Linked DNA regions of Rattus norvegicus. The protein of the gene in region 1 binds, or shares a complex with, the protein of each later gene. Links are inferred from orthologs where the notes say so. Each region holds a gene or a part of one and is shown on either strand. Other genes may lie near its edges.

Evidence for each region. Proteins that work in one complex are often made in the same cells at the same time.
Region 2: the proteins of Rasip1 (region 1) and Rap1b are in contact, whole or in part, in a crystal structure (PDB 5KHO), measured with the Homo sapiens proteins. The link is inferred for Rattus norvegicus from reciprocal best matches to the Homo sapiens genes RASIP1 and RAP1B. Residues at the interface, in NP_060275.2 of Homo sapiens: Val147, Lys149, Ala156, Ser157, Gly158, Ala159, Asn160, Tyr161, Lys162, Ser163, Val164, Leu165, Glu181, Arg182; in NP_001010942.1 of Homo sapiens: Val24, Gln25, Asp33, Pro34, Thr35, Ile36, Glu37, Asp38, Ser39, Tyr40, Arg41, Glu54, Leu56, Phe64.

The regions. Positions count from the first base shown.
Region 1 is NC_086019.1:105,231,608-105,236,934, forward strand, and holds the start of Rasip1 (ras-interacting protein 1), read left to right. Parts: upstream 1-1,991; 5' UTR 1,992-2,088; intron 2,089-2,256; 5' UTR 2,257-2,260; coding exon 2,261-2,397; intron 2,398-2,922; coding exon 2,923-3,587; intron 3,588-4,494; coding exon 4,495-4,850; intron 4,851-5,327. Other genes in the region: Izumo1 (izumo sperm-egg fusion protein 1 precursor), read left to right, coding at 290-443, 747-966, 1,547-1,724. UniProt on the Homo sapiens protein: Required for the proper formation of vascular structures that develop via both vasculogenesis and angiogenesis.
Region 2 is NC_086025.1:55,310,425-55,315,205, reverse strand, and holds part of Rap1b (ras-related protein Rap-1b precursor), read left to right. Parts: intron 1-1,558; coding exon 1,559-1,702; intron 1,703-2,673; coding exon 2,674-2,760; 3' UTR 2,761-2,790; intron 2,791-3,021; exon of another isoform or gene 3,022-3,134; intron 3,135-4,373; 3' UTR 4,374-4,781. UniProt on the Homo sapiens protein: GTP-binding protein that possesses intrinsic GTPase activity. Contributes to the polarizing activity of KRIT1 and CDH5 in the establishment and maintenance of correct endothelial cell polarity and vascular lumen.

The DNA of each region.
Region 1 (5,327 bases):
TTAGACCTGTAGGAGCCCCTGGGTGCCCTGCCCTGAACCAGGCCCTCATGGCCTGTTAGAGGTATCCTCTACTGATCCCCAGAGAGATCCCATGCCCTGACCAGGGACTTGCAGCTCCCAGCCACAATCCCGTGGACGGCAGCCAGTCTGATGCCTCCTGTCAGGATTAGGGAGGTCAGCAGTCCTAATTCCTTCTTCCCCTGCACTGAGGCCCCATGACCTTCTCACCCTGTACTCCCCCCAGTTCCCAATTCCCCAGGCCTCTGTGACCCCTTGAGCTTGGGTCTAGGTTTGGGGGAACAGTTCTGAGACCTTGATGTCCAAGGGAAAAGAACCTTACCTGACCAAGACGATGGTGGGTCCAGAGGATGCTGGCAACTACCGCTGTGAGCTGGACACCGTCAACGCTGGTCCCGCCACCATCATCTACTACCATGTCACAGGTCAGTCTGGGGGTTGGAAAAGAGACATTCAGGATGGGAGAAGCTCTGGAGGTGTGGCCTCATCTGTGGGACCTGATTTACTTTGGGCATGGCCTTGTTGTTGGCTATATAACCAGGGTCTGTGCTGAGGGGTGTGGCTTCTCTTAGAAGGTCTGTTTCCCGGTCGTGGAGGTATGGGTTCCTGCCTAACCAGGTTGCCTTAGGCCTCAGTTGGACTTACTGCGGTACCCACGCTCTAGAGAGGATTTTGGGGTTGCTGTTTCCGGCCGCTGCCAGGACTACCCTCTGGCTTTCCTCTGTCAGTATTGCCCCCAAGGTCTGTAGAGGAAAAACCACCGCCGAACATCGTAACCCAGGAGGAGGAAGAGACCCCTGTCCAGGTGATTGTACCGACGCTGGAGCCAGAGCCGGAGCCAGAGCCCATACCTACAGTTACCCATCGTCCAGAAAAAAAATTGAAAAGCCGCCTCTTAATACTGTTGATCCTTGGCTTCGTGGTTCTTGTGGCCAGCGTCATTGCCTCGTGAGCTGTTCAGTGGGAAATTTGGAGGGAGGGTGGGCCTTAGATAAAGTGGGCTTACACGGAGGGAGGGAAGAAGCGTGGGTGCAGTGGGGCAAAGGCATGGACAACGAGATGGGCTTTTGAAAGGAGCATGGCTTGATAGAGGGGTTGGAGGCCTGGGTAAGAGCCTGGTGTGAGGACAGAGGCAGGCTTGATGGAGGGGAGGGGCTTGGTGGAGGGGAGGTGCTTGATGGCAGGAAGGGGCTTGATGGAGAGTGTAGTTTTGGATACGGAGAGATTTAATAGAAGGATGCAGACAAGGGCTTGGATGGATAGATGGACAGACAGACGAGGCTTCAGTGAAAGGGCAGGGCCTGGTGGAGGGAGTGATTTGGAGGGGGCTGGGCTTGGGTGGAGGGAGGGGCTTCCTACAATCTAGTGCTGGCACAGGACAGGAAGCTACTGGGCACCTTCCTTTGGGGCTCACTTAGGAAGACAAGGCTTAATAAACTGTGAAGTTAGGCTTGTGGGGGTTTAGGGAAGTGTGTACTTCACTCAACCCATGACCTCATGTGGTTCTGTGCACCTATGTCTGCCCCAGGGTACTTCACTTTAGAAAAACCAGAGTTAAATCGAAGAACTCAAATGTGGAAAACAAAACCTCTGCGGCAGAATTCAAGTCAGAGGCGGAATCACCCCAAAAGATGGGATCGAGGAAGCTCTCTCAGGCAGAGTTTCACACTGACTCTTCGGATAAGGTTGAGGAAGCAGATAACTAATAAAGATTTGATGTGTTGTCTCAGTATTTGACTTACTCTCAAGGCCTGGTCCTGACTTCTGGATGCACCTCCCGAAACCCCAACTGAGGGGGCTGTAGCTGGAACATGGAGCCTCCCTTTGTAGGCCATGAGTGGTGGGCCCAGAATCAAAGCACAGGCCAGCCCTGCCTCATCTCCTCCCCCAGGCCTGGTCTCCTCACAGGACGCCCCCTCCCCGCTCTTCCTGCCGGGTTTCCTCTTGCCTTTTCCTGTCCTCCACCCAGTGCTGGGAGCTTGGGCAGAGGAAAACACTTTACAGAGGGATTGGGACTTAACGGAGGCCAACGGCACCAGGGCCTCCGGGTGCTACAGGACCCGAAGCAGGGTAAGAGCCACAGCAATGACTCACCCATCCTGGGACCTAGGAGTTCATTGCTTTGCCCCTCTAACTCCCTGGGATTCAGGAACCAGAACTGAATCTCTCTTCCGTAGCTTCCCACCCCACCCCACCCACTGTGGCCTTAGGGCTTGGGGCCTTACCCTCTTTCCTTAGGGCCATGCTATCTGGTGAACGAAAGGAGGGCGGAAGCCCCCGCTTTGGGAAGCTCCATCTCCCTGTGGGCCTGTGGATCAATTCCCCAAGGAAACAGCTCGCCAAACTGGGGCGGCGCTGGCCTAGCGCTGCCTCTGTCAAGTAAGTGACCAACCTCTATGGTGTGCCTGCATCTGTCCCTATTTATCTCTGAGCCATGCCAGGGACCCTACAAAAGTGGGCAGTGATTTCTGTCCTAAATAGACAAGTGACGGGGGGTGGGGGTGGGGGGGTGGCAGTGGAACAAGGTGACAATGAGGCACAGAGGAGTGCATCAGGCTGGATGGGCACTGGGATGGAACACAGTAGATATCTCTCTGTTCACTTTATTTCTTACCAAGGGTTCTATCTTTATTATATTACTTATCTTACCTCCATTCTTCCCACCTCACACCACCATCTTGGTTTTCTGCCCCCACCCCTGTCTGTGTCCCTCTCTTTGGTTCTTTGTCCCTGACTCTTTGAGTTTCTGTCCCTCTCCCTCTCCCGGTTTTTCTGTGTCTTCGGCACATCTCTCGGGGTCACTTTTTCTCTGGGTGTCTCCCTGTGTGTGTGTGTCTGTCTCTCAGTGTGTGTCTCTGTCTCTGATTCTCTCTTCTGCGTCCTCTCTGCCCACTTCCTCCTCAGGTCCTCGTCCTCCGACACGGGGAGCCGCAGCAGCGAGCCCCTGCCGCCACCGCCGCCGCCGCACGTGGAGCTGCGGCGCGTTGGTGCGGTGAAGGCGGCGGGGGGCGCCTCGGGCAGCCGAGCCAAGCGCATCTCGCAGCTGTTTCGGGGCTCGGGGGCCGGCGGCGCCGGGGGTCCTGGCACGCCCGGGGGCGCGCAGCGCTGGGCCAGCGAGAAGAAGCTGCCTGAACTGGCGGCGGGTGTTGCTCCGGAGCCCCCGTTGCCCACGCGCGCCGCGGTGCCCCCGGGAGTGCTCAAGATCTTCGCGGCCGGGCTGGCGTCGGGCGCCAACTACAAGAGCGTGCTGGCTACGGAGCGATCTACCGCGCGCGAGCTGGTGGCGGAGGCGCTGGAGCGCTACGGGTTGACGGGCGGCCGCGGAGCGGGCGACAGCGGCTGCGTGGACGCCTACGCGCTTTGCGACGCTCTGGGCCGACCCGCCGCTGGCGTGGGCGGTGGCGAGTGGCGCGCGGAGCACCTGCGGGTGCTGGCCGACGCCGAGCGCCCCCTGCTGGTGCAGGACCTGTGGCGCGCGCGGCCGGGCTGGGCGCGGCGCTTTGAGCTGCGCGGCCGCGAGGAGGCCCGTCGGCTGGAGCAGGAGGCCTTCGGTGCTGCGGATGCAGACGGTCAGCCGGGGAAGGGCATAGAGACTTGGGGCGGGACCTAGGGGACAGTGGGATGACTGAGTCTTGGACAGGAGGTGCTGGGGGCGTGGCTTACAGAGAAGAGGCGGGGCCTGCAGTATAAAAGGCAGGGACCTGGGTGAAAGGTGCTCGGGTTCTAGGAGGTGCTGTTGGCGGGGGCTAGGGGAGGGACGGGCACAGAGTAGGAAGATTGGACTGGACGTGCTGGAGTGAGGTGTACACAGGGGAGGTGGAGCCAGCAGGACAAAACTGGTGGTGCTACTGTGGGGCGGGACTTACAGACGGGGTCTGATAAGGGCAATAGCATGGTTAAGGAGTATACCCTACATGATATATCTCTTATTACTTTACCTTTGGGGTATAGTTTATTTTATTTTAACCAAGACAGGGTTCTGCCGTGTAGCCCTTGAACCCTTGATTTTCTTACCCGAGCCTCTCAAGTGCTGTAATTATAGGTGCACCACCACGCCTACAACATTCTTTCAGTTTGAATCTCAACGAACTAGGTGAAGGTTCAATGGAATAACGTATATAAAGGGCGTAGCACAGGCTTAATAAAGAATAGGGAGGGGGAAAGAGTTGGTCCAGCCGATTAGAGCATTGGCCTACTCTTTCAGAGGACCCCGGTTTAGTTCTTAGCACCAACATGACAGCTCACAACCGTCCTTAACTCCAGTTCCAGGGGATCTGACATCTTCCCATAGACACACATTCAGGCTAAACACCAATGCACATAAAATTTTAAAAAATGTTTAAATGTTTTTTAAGTTTAAATGCACAAAAAAAAAAAAAACCCTGCATGTTGAAAGAATGAATTTCTAAACTGACAACTCCAAGTTGGAGTCGGGCAAAACAATGTCCAGAGTTAAGAGCCTTTATTTCTCCACAGGCACAAACGCCCCATCTTGGCGGACCCAGAAGAATAGGTCTCGGGCAGCATCTGGCGGGGCAGCTTTGGCCAGTCCTGGTCCAGGATCAGGATCCGGGACCCCCACTGGGTCCGGGGGCAAGGAGCGATCTGAAAATCTGTCGCTGCGTCGAAGTGTGTCTGAGCTGAGTCTACAGGGGCGGAGGCGGAGGCAGCAGGAACGCAGGCAGCAGGCACTTAGCATGGCCCCAGGGGCGGCTGATGCTCAGATGGTGCCAACGGACCCTGGAGACTTTGACCAGTTGACTCAGTGCCTCATTCAGGCACCCAGCAACCGTCCTTACTTCCTTCTGCTCCAGGGCTACCAGGATGCTCAGGTTAGCACCATCTCCCCTACTCATAGAGCCACACCAGAAGAAACACAACGCCAGGAACGCCTTGGGTTGAGGCCCCTCTCCAGTATAATGGCAGCTCCCACAGGGTTCCCAAGTAGGAAACAGCACGGTGGGAGCTGAGGTGGAGGGCAGATACAAAGATCCCATTTGAGGGGTATAGTGAATGTTTCCTTCCATTCAGAGTTGGAAGAAAACATGATCTTGGTCAAAGGCCAGTCCATTGTCAAAAGGACAGCCCTAGCAAACATCCGTTTCTTGAAGGAAAGTCTGTGTCCTGGGTCAGGGAAATCTTTGTTTGGTACCTAGATACTTGTTCTGGGAATGGCAGCTTTCTCGATTGGAGAAATAGGCTAATCCACTTATAAAGGTTCACATGGAAACCACCTGACCTCTTGTTTATGGAGGCAGTGAAGCCCGGATATATTTTCATGTCTGTAGTTTTGAGGATTGAACCCAAAT
Region 2 (4,781 bases), on another chromosome or scaffold:
TATTTTTTTTTAAATAGTCTAAGTGTTTGTTGCTCAGGCGAGATATCCTGTCTGATCTCCGGATACTAGAACTACTACCTCCTAGCTTTGTATTGCCTATTTTTAGACCATGCATTTGTGGAGATGCAGCAAGGATGTGGGAGAGAGATATTAATAGAGCAGGCTGTGTGTGGCTACATTCACGGTAGACTTAACGGACTCTCCCTATAGTCCAGGCTGGCCTTGAACTTGGAGCAGGCCTCCTGCCTTCTCCCGAGTGCTGGGTCGATGGACACAGCCTTTTAAAGGAATATCTAGCCACATTTATCTCTGACCATATGTCTATATTATGTCTCTATTGAAAAAGGAACATAATGTTAAAGGAAAAGAGCCAATATGTTCAACTCTAAAACATTGATTTAGGGGTCCCTGCAGAATGAAGCATAATAGAGTCTGAAATCTATACATTTCAGAAAGATGGCTTTAATTCCCTATTACCTGTGGCATTGATTCTTAAGATTCTTTGATCTTGTATCAGAATTACGGTAGGAATTGCTACATAACTTTTGACCCAGTAAAGCTAGTGTAGGGCCTAAGACTTTGCATTTCTGACAAGTTTGTAGGTGATGTTTGGGTGGGAGCACTACACTTTAATGACCATAGTAGTACTGGACGTATGGATGTACACAAGAGGCAGAAGCAAGCAAATCTCTTTGATTTCAAGTTCAGGCTTAAGTAGCAAGTTCCAGGACACCAGAGCTTTATAGTGAGCCTGGGGGCATGAGGAGGACTAGTCATATACTTTACTGACACTAATATTGAAAGAGCTAAGAATCTTAGTGGTAGATGCTGTCATTTTCTACAATTTCATTAATCAGATATATTTTTTAAAATTAATCTCTTCTAAAAGCTTAAATCCTTTTTTTTTGCCCCCGGAGCTGGGGACTGAACCCAGGGCCTTGCGCTTGCTAGGCAAGCACTCTACCACTGAGCTAAATCCCCAACCCCCCCAAAAAAGCTTAAATTCTTATTTTCCTTATTTGAATTTTTTAGAAATTTATTTTTATTTTTTTAAATGGCCATTAGTGGTTTGCACCACTTTTCCTTGTACTGCTCTTTTAAAATTACGAACATTAGATATGTCCAAACTCAAGGCCATTAATAAGGGTTGATTTCTTTCTTTCTCTCTTTCTTTCTTTCTTTCTTTCTTTCTTCCTTTATTTTTACTAAGTTGATTTATTTCATCATAGCATATGGAAATGAGAGGCTACATCTAGGACCGTGAGAAGCTGAAGTTGCTACTTTAGGAGTCTTCTTAATTTCTCCTTTTTGTATTGTGCAATTCATTAAATGTGTGTCAGAAACCAAAAAACGTGAAGTTGGTTCACACCCTTAAACATTTTGAAGTGTTGAAATCTGCCAGCTTTTCATGGTGACACCCTTTGTACTTCCTGTTTAAAAAGTTACTTTGATTCCTGCGATGGGGTCTGTGTGGTATAACATTTCCCTCTTGTGTAAGCACTGTATAGCTTGGTCTTTATTGTCTGTAACTGTGTGTACCCCGTGACTGTCTCCGCAGGTCCCAATGATTCTGGTTGGTAACAAATGCGACCTGGAAGACGAAAGAGTTGTCGGGAAGGAACAAGGTCAGAACCTGGCAAGACAGTGGAGCAACTGCGCTTTCTTAGAGTCCTCCGCCAAGTCCAAGATAAATGTTAACGAGGTGCGTGCACGCGTGCTAGAATAACGTTTTATGCTCATCATTGAGGGACTCACTGTTATGAGAACCTTGGGTTAGTTCCCAGGACTGACATGGTGACTCATAACCATCTGGAAACCTTACTCCAGGGAATCCAAACACCCTCTTCTGATTCTTCTGGGAGCCTGCATGTACATCATGCACATAAATTCATGACACAAACACACACATAAATAAAAATAATAAATTTTTGCCACATGATGGTGGCACACACCTTTAATCCCAGCACTCAGGAGGCAGAGGCGGTTAGATCTCTGAGTTGGAGACCAGTCTGATCTACTATGTAAGTTCCAAGATAGCCAGGGCTATACAGAAAAACCCTGTTTCCAAAAATTAATTAATTAATTAAAGAAGCGTGTTGCAAAGAACTTCAAATTAATATGTGCTCCTATAGGCCAAAAAAAAATCTTGTCCAGCATATGCATATAAATGAGTAACAATATTTCAGTTTCTTTGTAATGCATATAAAGTGAAATTATTTTAAAGGGAAAGTTAGACAGAAAGCCAAATTTAGAAACCCATAATTTCATTGAGTATTTGAGGGAGTTTATGTAAAAGGCCAAACCTCAGAAAGATAGCATGGTTCTTGAAGTAGGTGAAGCCCTGTCGAGCAAAGGCACAGAGGCGAACAGAGCAGTATGAGACAGTAAGGGACTTCCTTTTTTGTAGGAGATCTAACTGAATTAAGTAGAATTCTGTGGCTTTTAAAGAACTTACTTGAAGGGAAACAGTTTTAATTTTCTTAAAACAAAAAACTTGGTACTTGTAAGAGCCCTGGCTTTATACTCATTCTGTAAAAGAGTTTGTGTTCTGAAGAGTTTTGGGTTTTGAGTTTGTTTTTCCTCTTTAAAACAGTAATAGTAATAGTAGTGATGGTAATAATAATAATAATAATAATAATAATAATAATAATAATAATAATAATGTGTTTGCAGATCTTTTATGACCTAGTGCGGCAAATTAACAGAAAAACCCCAGTGCCTGGGAAGGCCCGCAAAAAGTCATCATGTCAGCTGCTTTAATGTACTGAATGCATTGTAGCTCTGAGCCAGGTACGTTACATTACGTTCATCTCACTGAGTGAAGTTAATCCTTACAGGTAGATATCATGACTTGGTGTGGTAATCCTAGTAACTCATTCTATATTTCATTTACCTATCATCAGAAGGAAGGTGCTTTGCATAAGTGAATATCTTATGTTTGTTCAGTGCATGCTTATATCCCGGTGGGGCTCTGAAGCTGCTGATCAGAGCCAACTTCTCGTCCCTCTTAATTGCATTTAGATGATTGAGACATATAGAAGAGATCGACAAACTGTTTTAAGATGTGCACGGTGTGCCGACTAGGGCTTGTGGTCTCTGCTCACTCAGGAGGACGTCTGCAACAAGCCTTCCAGGCAAGAGCTCTCAGTATTCCCAGATTACAGTTGGGACGGTCAGGCTTTCCTTACTCAGGATGGTAAACAGTGCTGAGCCCTGCAGTTGGTGACACCGGCAGAGCCAGAATGTCAACAGGTTGCCCAGCGTCTGAGTCCATGCTCACTGCTGTGCTGCCGTGAGCTCTGAGGAGCACCAGCTGCTGTGAAATCAGAGCTTAGGGCAAGTCTGTCAGAGTTGGAAGCGTTGAGCTTTGAGGTGCAAGTCAGCAGTGCTGGAGGAAGGATCCCCAGCAGGGAGAACAAGGAGAAGCAAAGGGAGACTAAGCAGACACTTTATAGATTATACAAGCGGGTAATGAGACCTGGTGGTGGTGATGGCAGCAGTGGGGCACAGCTCTAATCCCACTCACTGAGCAGAGGGAGGCAGATCTGAGTTCCAGGACAGCCACAGAGAAACTGTCTCCAAAAAAAAAAAAAGGAAATGAAGGTTTTTTTGTTTGTTTGTTTGTTTGTTTTTCAGTTAATACTGCTATTGTCTGTTAGCCCTAATTCTTCTAGTAAGATGACTTGACCATAAATTTTAATGTAATTTTTTCCTTTTTTTTTTTTAAGATTGATTATTTCTGGGGGAGGGTGTGTGTGTGTATGTGTGTGTGTGTAAGTATTTTGCCTGCATGTATGTATGATTACCACGTGGCCCAACGTCCAGGGAGGCCAGAAGAGAGTATTGGACCCCCTGGACTTGGAGTTAAAGGCAGTAGTAAACTGCCTTGTAAGTGCTGAGAATGGGGCCTGAGTCCCGGGAAAGGCATCCAGTGCTCTTTACCATTGTGCTGTCTCTCGCTCCCAAGTTCTTTGGCTTTTTAGTCTTTGGAAAGTAATACAGAAATTTGCACAGAGCTTTTTGTTTGGTTGACTTGGTTTTTTCAAGACAGGGTTTCACTGTCCTGGAAACTTACTCTGTAGACCAGACTGGCCTTGAACTCCGATCCTCCTGCCCCTGCCTCCCTAAAGCTGGGATTAAAGGCAGGTGCCACCACACCTGACTTGTGCAGAGCTGTTTTTCCCCTTCTTTTTTTGGCCTAGAGTTTTCATTGGTCTGGCTTTTAGGACTACCATCTTTTTTGGAAAAAGATACAAAAATGTCTTTGCTGTCATTAAATATAAAGATTAAAAAAAGAACCTTTATCTTAGTGTTTCCTTTCATTCTTTATTGTACTGTTTCTGTTAATGTGTTTATTTTTTCCCCTTCCACAGGTCTGAAGAACTGTTGCCCAATTCAGCAGTGCCAGCATTCCAACTTTGTTAAACCTACCAACATCTTAAATGGACTTTCCCGTGGTGGTACCCTGTAAGAGGCGGACGAAAGCTACTCTATCAGTTTGCACATTCTAATCACTTTCCAGTATCACGAGAGGTTTTGACTTATATGATAGTTCTAGAGTATGCAGCTGGTAAAACCAGAGGCTACATCCAGTATTACTGCTAAGAGACATTCTTCATCCACCAATGTTGTACATGTATGAAAATGGTGTACTGTATACTTTAACACACCCATACTTTGTATTGGAGAGTACAATAATGTAAATCCTAAAAGCACCACTATTTTAGCATAATAAAAGAAAGTCCAAAGAGCTCCTATATAGACTACTCCAGATAACTTTG